Linked DNA regions of Lepisosteus oculatus. The protein of the gene in region 2 binds, or shares a complex with, the protein of the main gene of each other region. Links are inferred from orthologs where the notes say so. Each region holds a gene or a part of one and is shown on either strand. Other genes may lie near its edges. The genes, in order: pdk3a and dlat.

The links.
Region 1: the proteins of dlat (region 2) and pdk3a are in contact, whole or in part, in a crystal structure (PDB 1Y8N), measured with the Homo sapiens proteins. The link is inferred for Lepisosteus oculatus from reciprocal best matches to the Homo sapiens genes DLAT and PDK3. Residues at the interface, in NP_001922.2 of Homo sapiens: Ala225, Leu226, Ser227, Pro228, Thr229, Glu248, Gly249, Lys259, Ala260, Ile262, Glu265; in NP_005382.1 of Homo sapiens: Arg21, Phe22, Ser23, Pro24, Ser25, Pro26, Leu27, Phe48, Lys51, Val55, Asn373, Lys374, Ser375, Arg378.

What each region holds. Positions count from the first base shown.
Region 1 is NC_090700.1:1,514,599-1,521,800, reverse strand, and holds the start of pdk3a (pyruvate dehydrogenase (acetyl-transferring) kinase isozyme 3, mitochondrial), read right to left. Parts: upstream 3,115-7,202; 5' UTR 2,847-3,114; coding exon 2,741-2,846; intron 1-2,740. UniProt on the Homo sapiens protein: Inhibits pyruvate dehydrogenase activity by phosphorylation of the E1 subunit PDHA1, and thereby regulates glucose metabolism and aerobic respiration. Can also phosphorylate PDHA2.
Region 2 is NC_090718.1:15,305,941-15,313,758, forward strand, and holds the start of dlat (dihydrolipoyllysine-residue acetyltransferase component of pyruvate dehydrogenase complex, mitochondrial), read right to left. Parts: upstream 3,083-7,818; 5' UTR 2,889-3,082; coding exon 2,637-2,888; intron 1,465-2,636; coding exon 1,363-1,464; intron 1,194-1,362; coding exon 1,069-1,193; intron 633-1,068; coding exon 482-632; intron 170-481; coding exon 43-169; intron 1-42.

The DNA.
Region 1 (7,202 bases), on a different chromosome or scaffold from region 2:
TGCTTATTTCTAGGAGCTGCCAAGAACTTTAGGCACGTCTGACACACGACCCAGAGCTGGAAACTGATCCTGGAAAATCTTCTGACCCCTAGGTGTGTCAGGGGATGGGCTTGATACTCAGTGCCGATTGGTTCTGAGCTCTTAATCCACTATTAAGCATGCACACCTCTGGCCAGTGCTGAGCTGTGATCTGAACATGTTGAAGGAGAGGCCCAAGGCTCACAGAAATGAGCAGGAAACCAGTTAATAGTGAATCGCTCCAGGGAATAATCTATGCCATAGTACTCAGTATTACGTGCCGTCACTTACAGTTGACCTTACTACTTGGAGAACTCCTGGATCTTTGACTCTGCATTTCCAATGTAACTACTTACTCCAGGAGAAAATCACATTTAACTGATATGCTTATAATCTATTAATTCTTCATTCCTAAAATACTTCCTGTAATGTGTATATTCCCTTAATGAATGAATGCTCACTTAATACAAGTATAAATTTCATTATATGAAGACCCAGAAATGCAGTTATTTTTATATTAGAATGGATGTTTGCCACTCTGCAAGCATAGAGCAAGTGAACAAACATGTCTAGAGTCAATAAGAGGGGTTTCTGTTAGTCTTTGCAAAGCATGCTACAATGCCATATGCATCCAGTTAATCAGGTGAAAAATTTGGCGACTGAATTCTGCTGTCAAAATGGTGTTACAATAAGGCACACAACTGGAGACACAAGGCTGTTTCCCACATGAAAATAACAAAAAACGGCTTATCCTCACAAGCCCTCTTCCCTGCGGCGCACACATTCCCAGGGCCTGCAGCCTGGGCTCAGTCCGACAGAGAACCCCGCGTGGACACACTCCGCAGAGCCCTGGAGCCTGTCCACTCCTGCGGAAACCTCCGCCTTCATCCGCTGTTTCAACTGCAGCTGGCCAGTGGACACACACCACACCAGACTTCAGACAAACCGCCTCATTTCTGTGAAGACAAGCTTTCCTCTTTGCTCATACTAAGGGGTGACAGTACAAGGGCTGAGCCCCACCTGCCCCTGCTACATGTCTGTCTGCCCCCCACGCTTGAAAGGAGTATGTTTCATGAAGGAATTTCTCTTGCTTAAATCGCATATAAAACCAGGCCATGCAATTCCTGGTGTCGGGACGCAGCTGCCAAGAGAATTGAAAATTTAAAAAGGATCGTTCCACTCTACGCCCACCCAAAAAGGGGGTATTTTGAGACCTGACCACCACAGGCTTGTCGGAAACCTTTCCAGCACAGACAAGTTCAGGCATGCCAATTTATTTGAAGAGGACGTCCCTTTGGGCTGCTTATAGGGAAAAAGTAACCCTGACTTCAGAAGACACGTCCGTCACGCGTATGAAAGAAAACAAGATTGTGAGGAAAGTTACAAACCACAGGAGGCCAGTTGGTCTAGCTAGCTCATTCGGAAGATGGTAGCTTATTGGACCGAGGATCTCGAGCAGCTGTAACCTGAATACGCCACAGTGTCAAGTGCTCTAAACGCACTGGGTGTTTCCACTAGGGCCTCTGGTTTGTGTTTCACAGAGACAAGTCCTGTTTCCTATTCTAACCCCTTCAGGCTTGAATCCCTTGCATTAGGAATTTGTCTTGTCACAGACCCCAACTTGCTCTCCATGAGACACACAGGCAGGGAGAGAGAAGCTTGGGGTCCGAGCACAGCCATGGTCAGCCATTTATACAGCGCCCCTGGAGCAGCTGGGGTTCAGGGCCTTGCTCAGGGGCCCAACGGAATAGGATTCCTCTGCCGGCTGCGGGATACGAACCGGCAACCTTCCAGACACAGGAGCAGACCCTTAACCACAGTGCCACCTCTCCGCCCTCTTCGACACGCTCCAGCTTGTGGCGTGACTTTCCCTTCGGGCCGTACAGGGTAGGTCATTCATCGCCACGGGCGGAACGCCTCACGACAGACGCAGGTCGCAGATCAGAGCTGCTGCCTCACGTCACCCCCGGCATGAGTCTGCTCCAGATCACACGCCGTGCGGAATCTATTCGCTTTCTCTGTGCAGACTCAATAGCGGTGAGGCTGGTTCTATTTTAAGCAAAGCTTAAGGCTGATGCGGTGATTTAGATTAGTCTTGGGTTCCTTTAAATTCAGACACTTATGAGGAAGCTGATTTGTGGCAGCAGATGCCGAATCGTTACATTTCACACCAAGCTTGAACAACAATCCCTGGAGTTCAGGCGATTCACCGAAACATGCTAATGCGTTCATACGTTCCTGCAAAATTTCAGCTTCAGGGCGTTTAAAACTGTTCAGAAATGAGTGTAATGTGGTCTTGACAACTATAAACACACTGTCCCCAAACAAAACGACAGCTGACGTGAAACAGGTTCAAATAAGCATTTGTTTTTGAGTCTGGCTTCTGAGCCTGTATCACTGGAGTGCGGTTAACTGTACTGGCGAGACCGCTCAAGCAGTAGGCTGTGCAGGAAGACTGCAGTTGTCATAGAAAATATTTATATGGTTACATATGTTATTAAATGAAAAACTGACGCCATAACCCTGAATTCAAGATTAAGCGTAGTTTCTTGGTAGCTCAGTATCGTCTTGAACATAAATGAGTTTCAGTTCATTTAGTCTCTATCATAACGGCTAATGACGCGATAAATAACACACAAATAAACACATTTGAATATTGATAGACAACTGATTAATTAGAACAACCAAAAGCTGTTGCTTATTTGGAAGTATTCCTACTTACCGAAATCCAGGAATTGCTTTATGGACAGCGGAGAGGGGGAAAATCTTGAATAATATTCTATCTGCTTCGGAGTGCTGTTTTTCAGGAGAAGTCGAAACAGCCTCATAATTGAATGTTGTTTTCACTGATGATGCCTCCAGTAAAACTGCATGGATGTAGTGATGGGAATAAATCGGGGGAAATTCAATCAAAACGAACAGCCGGTGATGTCATCAGGCCGTGCTCCTTCTTGCTAGCCGGTGCTATACCAGATTGTCTAAAAACTTCGTTATTGCTACATTTGATGCCCTCTAGGCAGTCTTCTGCGATACATTGTGGCATTAAACGGCACGTACACCACGTTCCGGTCAACCATCCTTGAGAACATATCGTCCTGCCCCTAGACCATTTCTAATTGGTCCTTAGCTGCAACGCGGAAAAGTATAATTTCGTTCTATTGGACCAGCTAGGTGTCGCTCACACCATTCTGGGTGGGCTGCTCGGGTCTTCCGCAGGGGTTAGTGTGACTGATGCTATTTCGAAAGTACTGGTGTCACAGTTGCACGCTGTGAAGGGGCTACGCAGGCTGGGGGGCTGCGTCCGTCTTACTGGCGTTTCCATCCGGACGACACGTGTGAATAGCTCAATACAACCACGCCAGGGAAGCACTGATTGCAAACCCCAAAGGCCCTTTCTTTCTCCGTGGAACAGAGCTCGCTATTTCTCCAAGCAGCTCCCTGTCCACAGGTGGACAGACTGCACTGCCACATAATTCGCCGCCCCCGGTATATTTCACTTAGGCTTGTAGGCTGCAAAAGATGTGTCACAAAGCTGGGGTTAGGCTGCTCAAGGTGTGCGTAACGTTCTGGCAGCCCTGACTGCATCTTGCGCGGAAATGGAGTAAAACCGAAATCACGATCCCACCGCCGGTGTCCCCCTTCGACACCGGCTGAAGCGGCGCTCCGGTACGTGTTGCGGCTCATGTTGTGAGTAAGCTGAATCTAATCCTCAGAATTAACTCATCAAGCGCCCAACCAAGGCTCTGCTCTTTCAAGTCACGACCCTGCAAAAGACGCATCTACTGTAAAGGCGAAGCCCAGGAGGAGGCTAATGAGAACGGCGGATTTACAGGGAAGCAAAATCTCATCTCAACAAAGCCCAGTCATGCAAAATCCAAACACATGAAAGGGTCCCAACTGAAATTTGCTAACAATGACTGATCCACAGTGTGGAGGGGCCTTCCAGCTAACACAAACCACAGAAATCCCCCCCTTTGTCTTCCAGACAAACTGAACCAGTTTTACTGTAGATTTGATAAGCAAACAAAATTCTTAACAATAGTTCATGCAATCTGTTGCTATGTCCTTTATTCTCCAGTACCTCACAACCCCCCTGGCTCCCCCCTGCCCCCTCTCCCTGCAGGCAGCAGAACACGCTGGATCTTCTCTCCCCTTGGTAAAGAGCAGGAAGTCCCTTAAGCTCTTTGCCAGCCCAAACTGCAGGAAGGCGTCTGGTCCTGGTTTGGTTTCTCCAGCCACTGAAGCACTGTGCTGCTCAGCTCTCCCCAGAATTCACAGACAGATTCCAGCTGTCCATGGGTCAGTGTGGGCCCTACCTGCTTCAGCCCCTCTGCTATCATCCCTGCTCCCAAGAAGGATCATGCAACCTGACTATTGCCCCTTTGGGCATATACTCTCTATAGACCAGTTGCACTTTCTTCTGTCAATGAAAACCTTTGAGAGCCGCATACTCAGATCCCTCAAAACTATCACAGATTCAATACTGAGCCAATAAGCCAGTGGATGATGCTGTTAGTGTTTGCCTCCACTACATACTACATACAGCATCTGGAATCTCCAGGAACATATGTCAGACTCCTACTTGTTGATTTTAGCTCTCCATTCGAGACCATCATCCCAGAAGCCCTCCGCAAAAAAGTGACTCATTTGAATGTTCTCCTCCCCACCTGCCAGTGGACACAAGGGAAGGCAATGAGTGCAGATTGGCTGTGATCTGTCAGACTGCGTATCTGTGAGCACTGGTGCACCTCAAGCCTCTGTTGTCTCCCCATGACTGTGCCCTCTGTATCCCAAGGACTGTACCTCCAACGGCCCCTCTGTCACACTGCTGGTGGGTCTGACGAGAACAGGCACAGACGGGCAGCGGATCGTCTGGCGGCAGGGCGTGTCAACAGCGCCCTTCAGCTCAACGGTCTCAGAACCGAAGAAATGTTAATTTGATTTTCTGAAAAACCCCTAGAAACGGTCAAGGTCGCAGTGGGTATGGTGGAGTCTTTCAAGTTCCTAGGAATAACCACCTCCAACACCTCCTGTATAAACTCAGACTAAAGAATCGAGCAGAAAACTCCCCTTGTCCAGGACACCACCTGTTTAATTAACCTTGGGGAGACGCTACCAGCCGATCGAAACCAACGCTGCTGGGCACCTGAACAGCTTCTTCCCTGTGGCCGTCCCCCTGGATACGAGACCCACTGCGTCAGGAACTGTGGTCCTCTGTGCACGTTCTTGGTGTGAAGTGTATTTGTATTATCGATTGTTTCTATCTGTGTTTTGGCACAACGACACAAGATCAAATTCCTTGTACATGTAACATATTTGGCAAAGAAAGTGATTCTGACTCTGGTTTATATATAGTATTGCATTTGGATAGGGGGTAGAAAGATCGCAACCCTATAAAATACCTTTAGCATCTGCATTGCGGTTTTACCGCAGAGCTGATTTTCGTTTTTTTTGGGAAATGATATTGTGTTTATTGTTAATCGCAGGTTTTGCTTTTAAAGCGAGCTGCGTGCTGGATTTGCTGTAAGACAGCATTTACACAGAAGATGGATACCTTACGCCACCTAATGGGAAGCAGCCAGTACTGAGCGTTAAATGACAGCAAAGATCATAGTACTGTATGTGGGTGCATTCGAAAAAATCCAAGACAGTGGGGGTTGTTTTTTTTAACAAAATAAATGATGTGTATAAATATTTATACCGCTGCAGTTATAAACATTGAACATTAGGTTACTTGCTAAGAAAGAGCCAAATATCCCTAGTTCTCATGGTCTGGATCTGCGAAGCATTCAGCGTTCCAAAAAAAGATAGGCCAGATCTATCAGGATGGACCTGGGAACAATCCCAAATCCGTGGGAACTTTCGGGAATCAGGGATTGAACAATGGAAGCCCAGAATAGAAAGTATTCCTGAAAAGCATATGATCTTTGGCCCAGTTCCTGTTCTCTGAAATCCAGTTCCTTGACACAGTGCTGAGTGAATGACACGATTTTATTATCATATACCACTGAAACTTGTAAATTGGCACATTGTTGCAGGATATGGATTTTATTAATCAAACCTCTTTATCTAAAGAGCACAATACACATCTTTTAATGAAACAGCAGCCAAGAACAGTTTTCATATCACAGGCAGTTTCAATTGTCCAGGAATATAATATTTAGTTTATACAGTAATTATAGTATACTGTATACATTTACATAGCAACTATTGTGCTTAAAATAAGATAAAATATTGAATAATATATTTTAGTCCAAAAACTGCCAATTAATGGATGTTATATCTTTCTTCAGAAAGCACTCACACACCAAAGAAATTCAACCGTTTATTAGCTCACACAACAACTGATATCTTGTAATCCCAGAACGCTCTCTCTGGAATTCTGATTCCACAAGTTTGCACTGGGAGGACTGCTCATTTTCTCACCTTAATCTCACCTCTTTACTTCGAAACTAAAAGCGTACTGCAAAGTCAAGGACACGACTCATTACAAAATATATATACTTCATATTTGTTATTGTTTGCCTGTTGGTACATCAATTAAGATATTAGGTATTATAAAAATACCCCTTTCTATTTCTTTTTTTTCTATTTATATGCACTTTTGTTTAAAAAACAAACCGATATAAACACACAATGGAAGATGGCATCATATGACAAAGAGCTTTAACAAGATGATGAAGATAATGATGACGGTGTCCATATCTTCTGAGCACAGAGTCTTGTATTATTCTGCAGCCTGACTCCTTTCTGAACCTCAGGCAGCCCTGGTGACTGTGCTGAAAATCCCAGACCAATCACCCTCAATAACTAGTGTTTTAATTCCTCCTCTCTAAATGGGTTCACCACCAGCCTGAGCCACAGGACACTTCGGAAATCTACCTCACCTTCATGAAGGCCCAGAGTCAGACTCTTCGGCTCCTGCGCTAATCACTGTTACAGGCCCAGTCCACCACGGTGAGTTTCCACTGAACAGAAGAAAGACACGTCTGTCCAAAGAAAAGCTGAGCTGGCAGTTTGTCCTGATTGAGTCTGAGCCAGTAATTGTGCACACTGCAGACTGAACACATGGCAACACAGCGCTAGTGGCATCACCTCTGACAACACCTGGAAAGACTGAGACATGCAAATAAAAGCAGATACAAAGAAAAACAAAAAGGCACAAAGCAGAAAATATAACTAGA
Region 2 (7,818 bases):
CGGCAGCGCGTCGATGTCGGCGTGGGCGCCCAGCGGCCTCACCGATGGTGGCCTTGTCCGTCTCGATCTCAGCCAGCAGGTCCCCCTCACTCAGCTTCTCGCCCACCTTCTTCTCCCAGCGCTGCACGGTGCCCATGGTCATGGTGGGCGAAAGAGCTGGCAGCAGGACCTGGCAGGGGCACAGCACACCCAGGCAACGTCAGGGGGCACAGAAACAGGAAGTTCAGTTTCCAGTTCCTTCATAAGGTACTTTGTCATCACCAGCATTATAAGGGTGTCAAGCATCTAAAAACGCAAAGCACCGCCAAGCATCCTTTATAAAAGGAAGCTTAGTGGACACTCTCAGAAAGTGGGGGCCCGCGATGAAGTATTTAACTTCCACTTCTGTACTGGAGAGGGGAGTCTCCTGAACTCGCTCTCCTGCCGCGTCGCTCGCGGTAAAGGCATCACCGCTGCTGCACCAGCCAGGCGATGCTCCTACCTTCATGTGCGGGGGGTAGGAGCTGCCGGGCGGCTGTGGGGGGGCCGCGGCAGGGGGGGGAGGGGCCGCCGCCGCCGCTGTTGCTGCTGGGCTGGGGGGTGCAGATGCCATGTCCAGAGTGTAGTCTTTGAAGGCAGGGACGAGGTCAGGGCTGCAGGGAGGGCAGAACGAGCAACAGCATGATGTCAGACACAGGCTGCCCACAAACACAGCAAGCAGGCAGGCAGGCAGCCCCACAGACCAGCTACTGCTTCTGCCCAGAGCCCTTCCTGGGGACACTCAGAACAGCAGGACCAGCGCTGGGCACTCAACTAAAATCCACAATCGCTCGCCTAAAAGCTCAGCAACTCTGCTTGCAACCCAAACTCCTGCAGTGCTTCGCAGACGCCACTCAACATCAGTTACAGACCGTTTCCAAATTCTCTGCAAACCTGTCTTGTCTGCCCATTAACAGCAGTGTCTGAGAAGCGATAGAGTCCTGAAAACTGCAGGATTAGACATCGGGCTTTTCTTCCCAGCTATTTTAAAGGCTACGATAGTTCTTCGCTGCCTGATCCAAGACAGGAAAGCGGAAACGGGAAGTTTACCTCTCCACAGTTATACAGATGACGGCACCAATGGGCACGTCCCTGGTTCCCTCTGCCACCAGGATCTTCGCCAAGTAACACTCCTCCAGAATCTCAAAGCCCACCGTGGCCTTGTCCGTCTCCACCTGGCGAGAGAGCGAGTGTGGGGTTAGAGCACGCAAGACCAGGGCGAGGCAGGTGTGAGAAAGGAGAGAGATGAAGGGAGAAATACAGACGAGACAGCATGGCCGACGGCTCTAATTGTGGGCCAGCACTGTGCAGCCACGGGACACAGGAGCAGTCCTGCACCCTCACCTCGGCGATCAGGTCCCCCTCGCTGATCTTGTCCCCCTCTTTCTTCTCCCAGCGAGCGATGGTGCCATTCTGCATTGTGGGGGAGAGTGCGGGCAGCACCACCTGCACAGAGCCAAACCACACCGTGACACAGAGACCTCCTCCTCCTCCTCGCACAGGCGCACTTACTGTTAAAGCGCGCATTCAACCTCTGCATCGAAAACCGCAAGGCTGCTCTCTTCAACACCCTGCTCATTTGTGTCCCATACTGCTGAGCGATTTATTTTGGGAAATTGGGCCATTTTATTTTAATGCAAAGGAACAAGTTAAAGGTTTATTCCATGCTGAAAAGAGAAGAAATGGCAGAGCACAGTGCAGGACACGCCCACAGCCCTGTCCAATAGGAGCCAGGGGCATGCACAGTCAGGTCCAGGACGCCTGCTCTCCACACACAGGGATGCCAAGACTAAGGCAGGGGAGCAGTGTGGAGGAGCAGTCAGGGCAAGCTGTGGGTTCGAATCCCCACTGAGGTACTGCTGCTTTACAGAGGCAAGGGGCTTCACATCAACAGACTTCTGTAACAATCCCAGCTGTCAAGGAGGACAGGACAGGACAGGTGTGCACTTATTTGAGGATCAAAGCAGAAAAAATGTGTTACTGGAAGTCCGGAACAACTGCAAAGCCAAGTCATTGAGGCGAATACTCCGGCATCATCCAAGACAAGTCTGGATGAGGTCCCCAGAAGATATTAGCAACCGAAAAACCACATGAGCTAGACGGGCACTGAACAGCTGATCATCAGAAGCAAACCTCGGAGCCTCTCTCTCAGGTGACCTAAAGGGACACCTGAAACAAGCCGTTTATGAGCCTGAACCGCAGGGAAAGAGAAGCTCACACTGGAGAGAATGCCCCGTGAGAAAGGTCAGCTCTCGGAGAGGAGCTACGGCCCGGCCCGGAGCCCAGCGGCCTCAAGCTGCAAGGTGACACGGACAGCCGGCCGCGCAGCGCGGAGCAGAAACACTCGGGACAGGAAAGCCTGCCGTTAGCGTTGCTAAGCAGTTACCCCGACTTAGCACCGTGGCGCAATTCGTGCCAAGCACTGGAAAGGTGGAACATTTATGTCTCCGTGAAAGAAAGTTTAGACTTATTTGGCAGCCTACACAGCGCCATTTTGTCCATTCCTAACGCTGCACCACACAGTTTGGGAGCTCTATACAGAAGCCTCTATAAAGATGCACACGCCCGCCCAGGTGGGCGAGCAGGAAACCGTCAAGCCCGTCTGGGAGAAGCCTTACCTTCTGGTGGGGCGGCAGGCTGTACAGCCGCTTGCCTTGGCAGCTCCGTGCGGACAGGTAACTCTGCAGAAACCCGCCCCTGCCGCAGGTAACCGCGGTGGCGTAGCACACGGGCCGGACCCGGGCCGAACCTCCGGAGTGGTACCTCCTGAGACGGCAGGACCCCGGCCGGGAGCTCATCCCGGGGGCCGAGCCGGGGCCGAAGCGGGGGACCCGCACCGACTGCCGCAACCGCACCGCCCAACGCAACATTCCGAGCTGCTCGCTTAACGGCGCAACACCAAGAAGTTCCCCACTCTGCAGAAGAGCTGGCCTTTTAATGCTTCAGAGCCGACAGCCTTAATGCCGCTCCGGTGTCCCCCAGTTTATAACGAGAGTCCCTCCCTCACTTTCCAATGACCTCCCCGTCTCAAAACATCTCGCTTTACGGCTTACCCGCAGCACCTAGGCTCCGCCCACCAGAGTCGTGTGAGGTCGTAAAGCACGCTGTCGTCAAGCAGCGCGTCTCTGCCTCTGCACAGGCGGGAGGGGGTGGTGTCGCTTTTTATAGGACTCAGCTTTTGCGACTCTGACCTCGGCGTCCTGTTGAAATACATTAGCTAATAACTACCCTACTGTGTTTCTCTGATATTGTTGTTTTAAAATATCGGTCTTGGTAGAGCTCAGTAACTCTACCAGTAACTAAAGATGTAGAACAGATCCCCTCCGCGTTCTCTTTTTCTTGCGTTGTGGTTTTGAAAAGAACCTAAACCAGTGAGCAGGCATACATCGATTGAAAACTGTCAATTCAAAATTGCGTTGCGGGATGGCATGAATAAAAAGTATCTTCTATGTATTCTATAAGCTATTGATAAGGCAGCTTATATCGCACGTGTAGCTGATCTAGATACAAGGTGAAACAACACAGAAATGTTCTCGAACATTGCGGCGTGACCTGGGTTCGATTCCGGTCGGGGGCACCTTTTGCGAGTTTACATGTTCTCGAGTTGTCGAGGATTTGTCTTCTCCCTTAATAGAGGGTAGATGCTGTTTATAAAGAACCAACATACGCTTTGATTTTAAGCAAGTAAAACCGGAAACACTGAGGCCCTGCAGGCAATACCGAGACTCTGTTGCAGAGCATCCGGCTCAACTGAATGTCCACGAGTGACAGAACAGCAGTAGTTCCACCTGTCGCCTCCAGGGGGCGCGCAGACACCGCTGTATAAACTGTGTGAAGTGGCCTGGGAAGCACCTTTAACTTCCTTTAGAAGTTGCCATGAAATATCGTCAGTGAAGTAAAAATTAAGGAACTTTTGCAGAATAAGCTGAACAATAACAGTGTGTCTTGGTTTCTTATGATGTATCGGACTGATTCTCGAAGCAGGCGTCTTGTGAAACGTCAGTGTCCCGGGTATCTGCCTGCGGTTCTGCTGGGCGTGTGAAGCAGCAGGTTCGAATCGAGACTTGTGCCAGCGAGCAGTGCAGTGTACGCCTCGTTCGCGGCTCTTCTGAAACACAGTGACAGCAGGGGGGCGTTTCTACAGAAACCAACCGTGCAACGCAGGCTGTGAGCACTCAGGCCAGAGGGACCAGACAGGCCCGTTTTTAAAAAACATGCACTGATGTTCTGCCTCTCTACTGCACACCTCCTTGTCAGGATACTCCAGGATCATAGGTGGCATCAGGCCTGGCACTGAGATGAGAATGACAGCGAAACCCAGGAGATAGCATGCAGGAGCAGGCATAGTACAGCTGGGATCTGGCCTGAGGAGTCAGGCCTGCAGGTCCTGAAGCAGAAGCTCTAATGTTCATAGAGTAAGTGAGGAAATACAGCAAGGGAAAAAAAACAACTTAGCAACTTTTAGGAGTTGCAGGGATGTGTAAAATCAGACAGCCACAGACCCCCTTTCAACAGGAGAGATGATTTATGAAAACAGAGAGAGTGGTTTATTGATTTGTTTATTGTCACTGTCTGTGGTCTGACACAGAGGGGAATGATAGTAAAGTTACATGACTCCTGAACACACTCTGCATGAGCTCTGCCTGGCCAGGACAGACTGGTCCTCTCTGGCCCCAGCAGTGACCGTCGCGCACAGTGACCCCCAGGCGTGAACAAGCAGGGCTTTAGTGATGTCACCACAGCCAGTCCAGTAGCTGTGCATTGCTGCCTGTATCTGGAGCTCTTCACAGACACATATAGCAGTGAGAAAACCCCAGTCCCAGATAGCACTGATCCAGCAAATTGTATCACCCAGCTCTACAGCTTTGAAGTTACTGATCAATTCAACAGGCTATCTGGATGTAACCCAGGAATCGGCACATCTTTTGTCTTGCGAATTTGTCTGATTTTAACCAGACAAGAAAGCCGGTACAGCTTATGGTCCCGAAGCACTGTCCTAACTCAACCTGCAATGGAGAAGGAATATCACCCCATGTCAGTGCTTTTAAATCTTTGTGATGTAAACTTCAGCTCACAGTTATCACAAAAGTCTGCTCTGCTTACAGAGACACAAAAATAATTCTGGTAGTGAAATATCAGATCATATGTAAAAGGTCTATTCCCTGCTGAAGAAGAGAAGAAAGGAATCACAACGTTTCGGCTGTGGAGCCTTCTTCGGGCATGAGGCTCCACAGCCGAAACGTGATTCCTTTCCTCTCTTCTTCAGCCTGGAATTAACCTTTAATGTGTTCCTTTGCAGTCTCCGCATGCTGACGCAGCTCCAGATAATACGCGTGGCACTGAGAAAGACAAAACACTGAAGCCAGCAGCAGCCATCTGAGCACTAAGCGCTGAGCATGAGGGGAAGGGACTGGGAGACTCGGTCCCTGTCATGCAGCTCCCTTCTTGAACAGCGCAAGGGTCTGAGCACAGCGACTGATGAGGAAGGCAGGGCTGGAACAAGGGCGCTGATACAGCAGTAGGAACCTGAAACAAGCCCTGTTTTCAAAGGCCAATCCTGCAAGGTGCAGCCTGCACCTGCCTTTCATGGTGAACCAGTAAATTGATCAGGGATTAAAAAACTGATCAGGGATTAAAACAGTTTAAAAACATAGTCACGGTCTGCATCAAACAGGGGCGAGCCAGTCCTTTACAAAACAAAACAAAAAACATATAAAAACTGTGAGAAAAGAGAGCTGCTTGAAAACAGTACAAAAGTTTTTGTTTCCATTGAACACAAGTGAATAAAGTTCAGGTTAAGCTTGGTCCCCTGCTCTCCCAGCTGCGGAGCAGAAACATATTCTGCACAAGTTTTAAACTGTTTTTAGTCACAAACCTCCCTCCTGGCTGAGCCTCTTTAAGGAACTCCAGATCTGTCCCAGCTAGATGGGGGAAGAGCGTCTGTGCAAACTGGGAGGCACCCAGTGGGTGTCACTGTGAGCCCCCAGCCCTCGGACAGACTGCAGACCAGAGGGGGAGTGAGGGAGGGATCTCAGTTCTCCCCTCTCCACAGCATTTTTCTCTATGGCTTTTTTGCGTGCTTGTGGCTCATTCAAACCATACCTCAAACTGCCTCAGAGCAGCGCACAAGGGGTTTCCGAGGGGCTGAGAAGGAAAGGCTCATGCTGAGCTCTATGATACAGAGGTCGTGGGTTCAAGGTTGTGTCATGTCACACCCCAAGTGTGACCCAGTTTCCCCCATGATGTCAGGAAAGTTGTGGTTTTGGGGGGCAGACAGGACCAGTCCTATCCTCAAACTGCTCAGCCAGAGGAGACAGCGAGTGAGAAATTCACACAGACAGCAGCCGCAGAGTATCAGAGCGGCCCAGTGAACCAAATACAGAGACACCGGTTCCAGTACCAGTTCACACACATGTAGAAAAACACCTTTGTGCAATTAATTCACAACGTATAAAACTAGATTTACAAACACCGTTAGAAATGGGATTCATTGACGCCACACTGAAACAGTAGAGACAGCCTTTCAAACCAACTCTCCGCAAGGGGTATCTCAGGCCAGTCTTGCCCAGCTCCCTCCTGCCCCTCGCTCTTGCCCACCAAGAGTGGCGGAAGTCATGGACACACAAGACGGGCACCTGGTCAACTGCGCCAGCTCACTCCCGGCACATTCACACGCAAACTCCAAACAGGGCAGCACAAGGCACCGGGCCACTGCCCATACTGTCCACCTCACTGAGATGCTGGACACAGCTGGAGTGACAAAAGCACCTTCAGCTTGTTTAGGGCACAATAACACTCTGACTGAGAACACACCCATCGATTCTCCATTAGTTTCTACGGGAACACGGCCATTTGTCAATACAGCAGGTCCTGCGTGAGCAAGCATGACAGGTGTGAACTTCATCAGTGTGTCACATTAGGCAAAGGTGCTTGTGGACTGAGAAAATAATTCAGCAACCCGCTCCAGCCCACTGGAGTTCAGTGTGAACAAGCTCGAAACTCCTCTGTGTACAACATTCCACACTCAAGGCCTGACATCTCCCACGGGCTCCAACAGGACACAAACAGGCTGGTCTCAGCCCAACTGTTGACAGTGCTGACTGGTCGTCTAGCCTTCACTCAATGCAACATCACTGCCAGCTCTCCTCCTCTCTCTGCAATTTACCTGTATTTATTAACAAAGTACCTAAAAAAAGCTCTCAGTACAGAAATGATACTACTGAGTCTTGGCCCGGAAGAGTCCTCAAAGCTCTCCGATTCAATCAAAAAAGACGGATTGCACAGCAGTTTGATCCACTTCTGGTTTTGCCACACCCCGGCTCTCAAACAAACTGGTGATGAAACAGTGAAACAATAATAAAGTAATTACATCATCATAAAGTTGAACTATTAAACTGTATCTGATCTTATTCTGCATGTGCAGTGTGTTCATGTGTAAATCGTTCTAAAAATAAGATAGCAATAGTAAAACTGTACAGGTACTACATACTGCATGTCTGAGGTGGAGCCACAAAACCTGGAGTGGAGTAGAGTGCAATGCAATCGGAGTCTCATTCCCCTGGCTGAACTAATATTCCAGGCAGCTCCTAAGCTTCTCCTTGTCTAAGCTCGTGCAGAAGCACAGTCAGGAATGTTGGCCGTCTTTCCTATTGCAGGGAGCATGTCGTGTGGTCTTTGGCTGAAAGCTGACTTTGAGGCCCCAGCTCTGTGCAGCAGGAGGGGCCGCAGGGGTGGGAGGAGGACAGAGACAGCGCTGCTGCTGTGTGGATGCAGTGTGCGCCCTTACTGGATGCTGTGTGC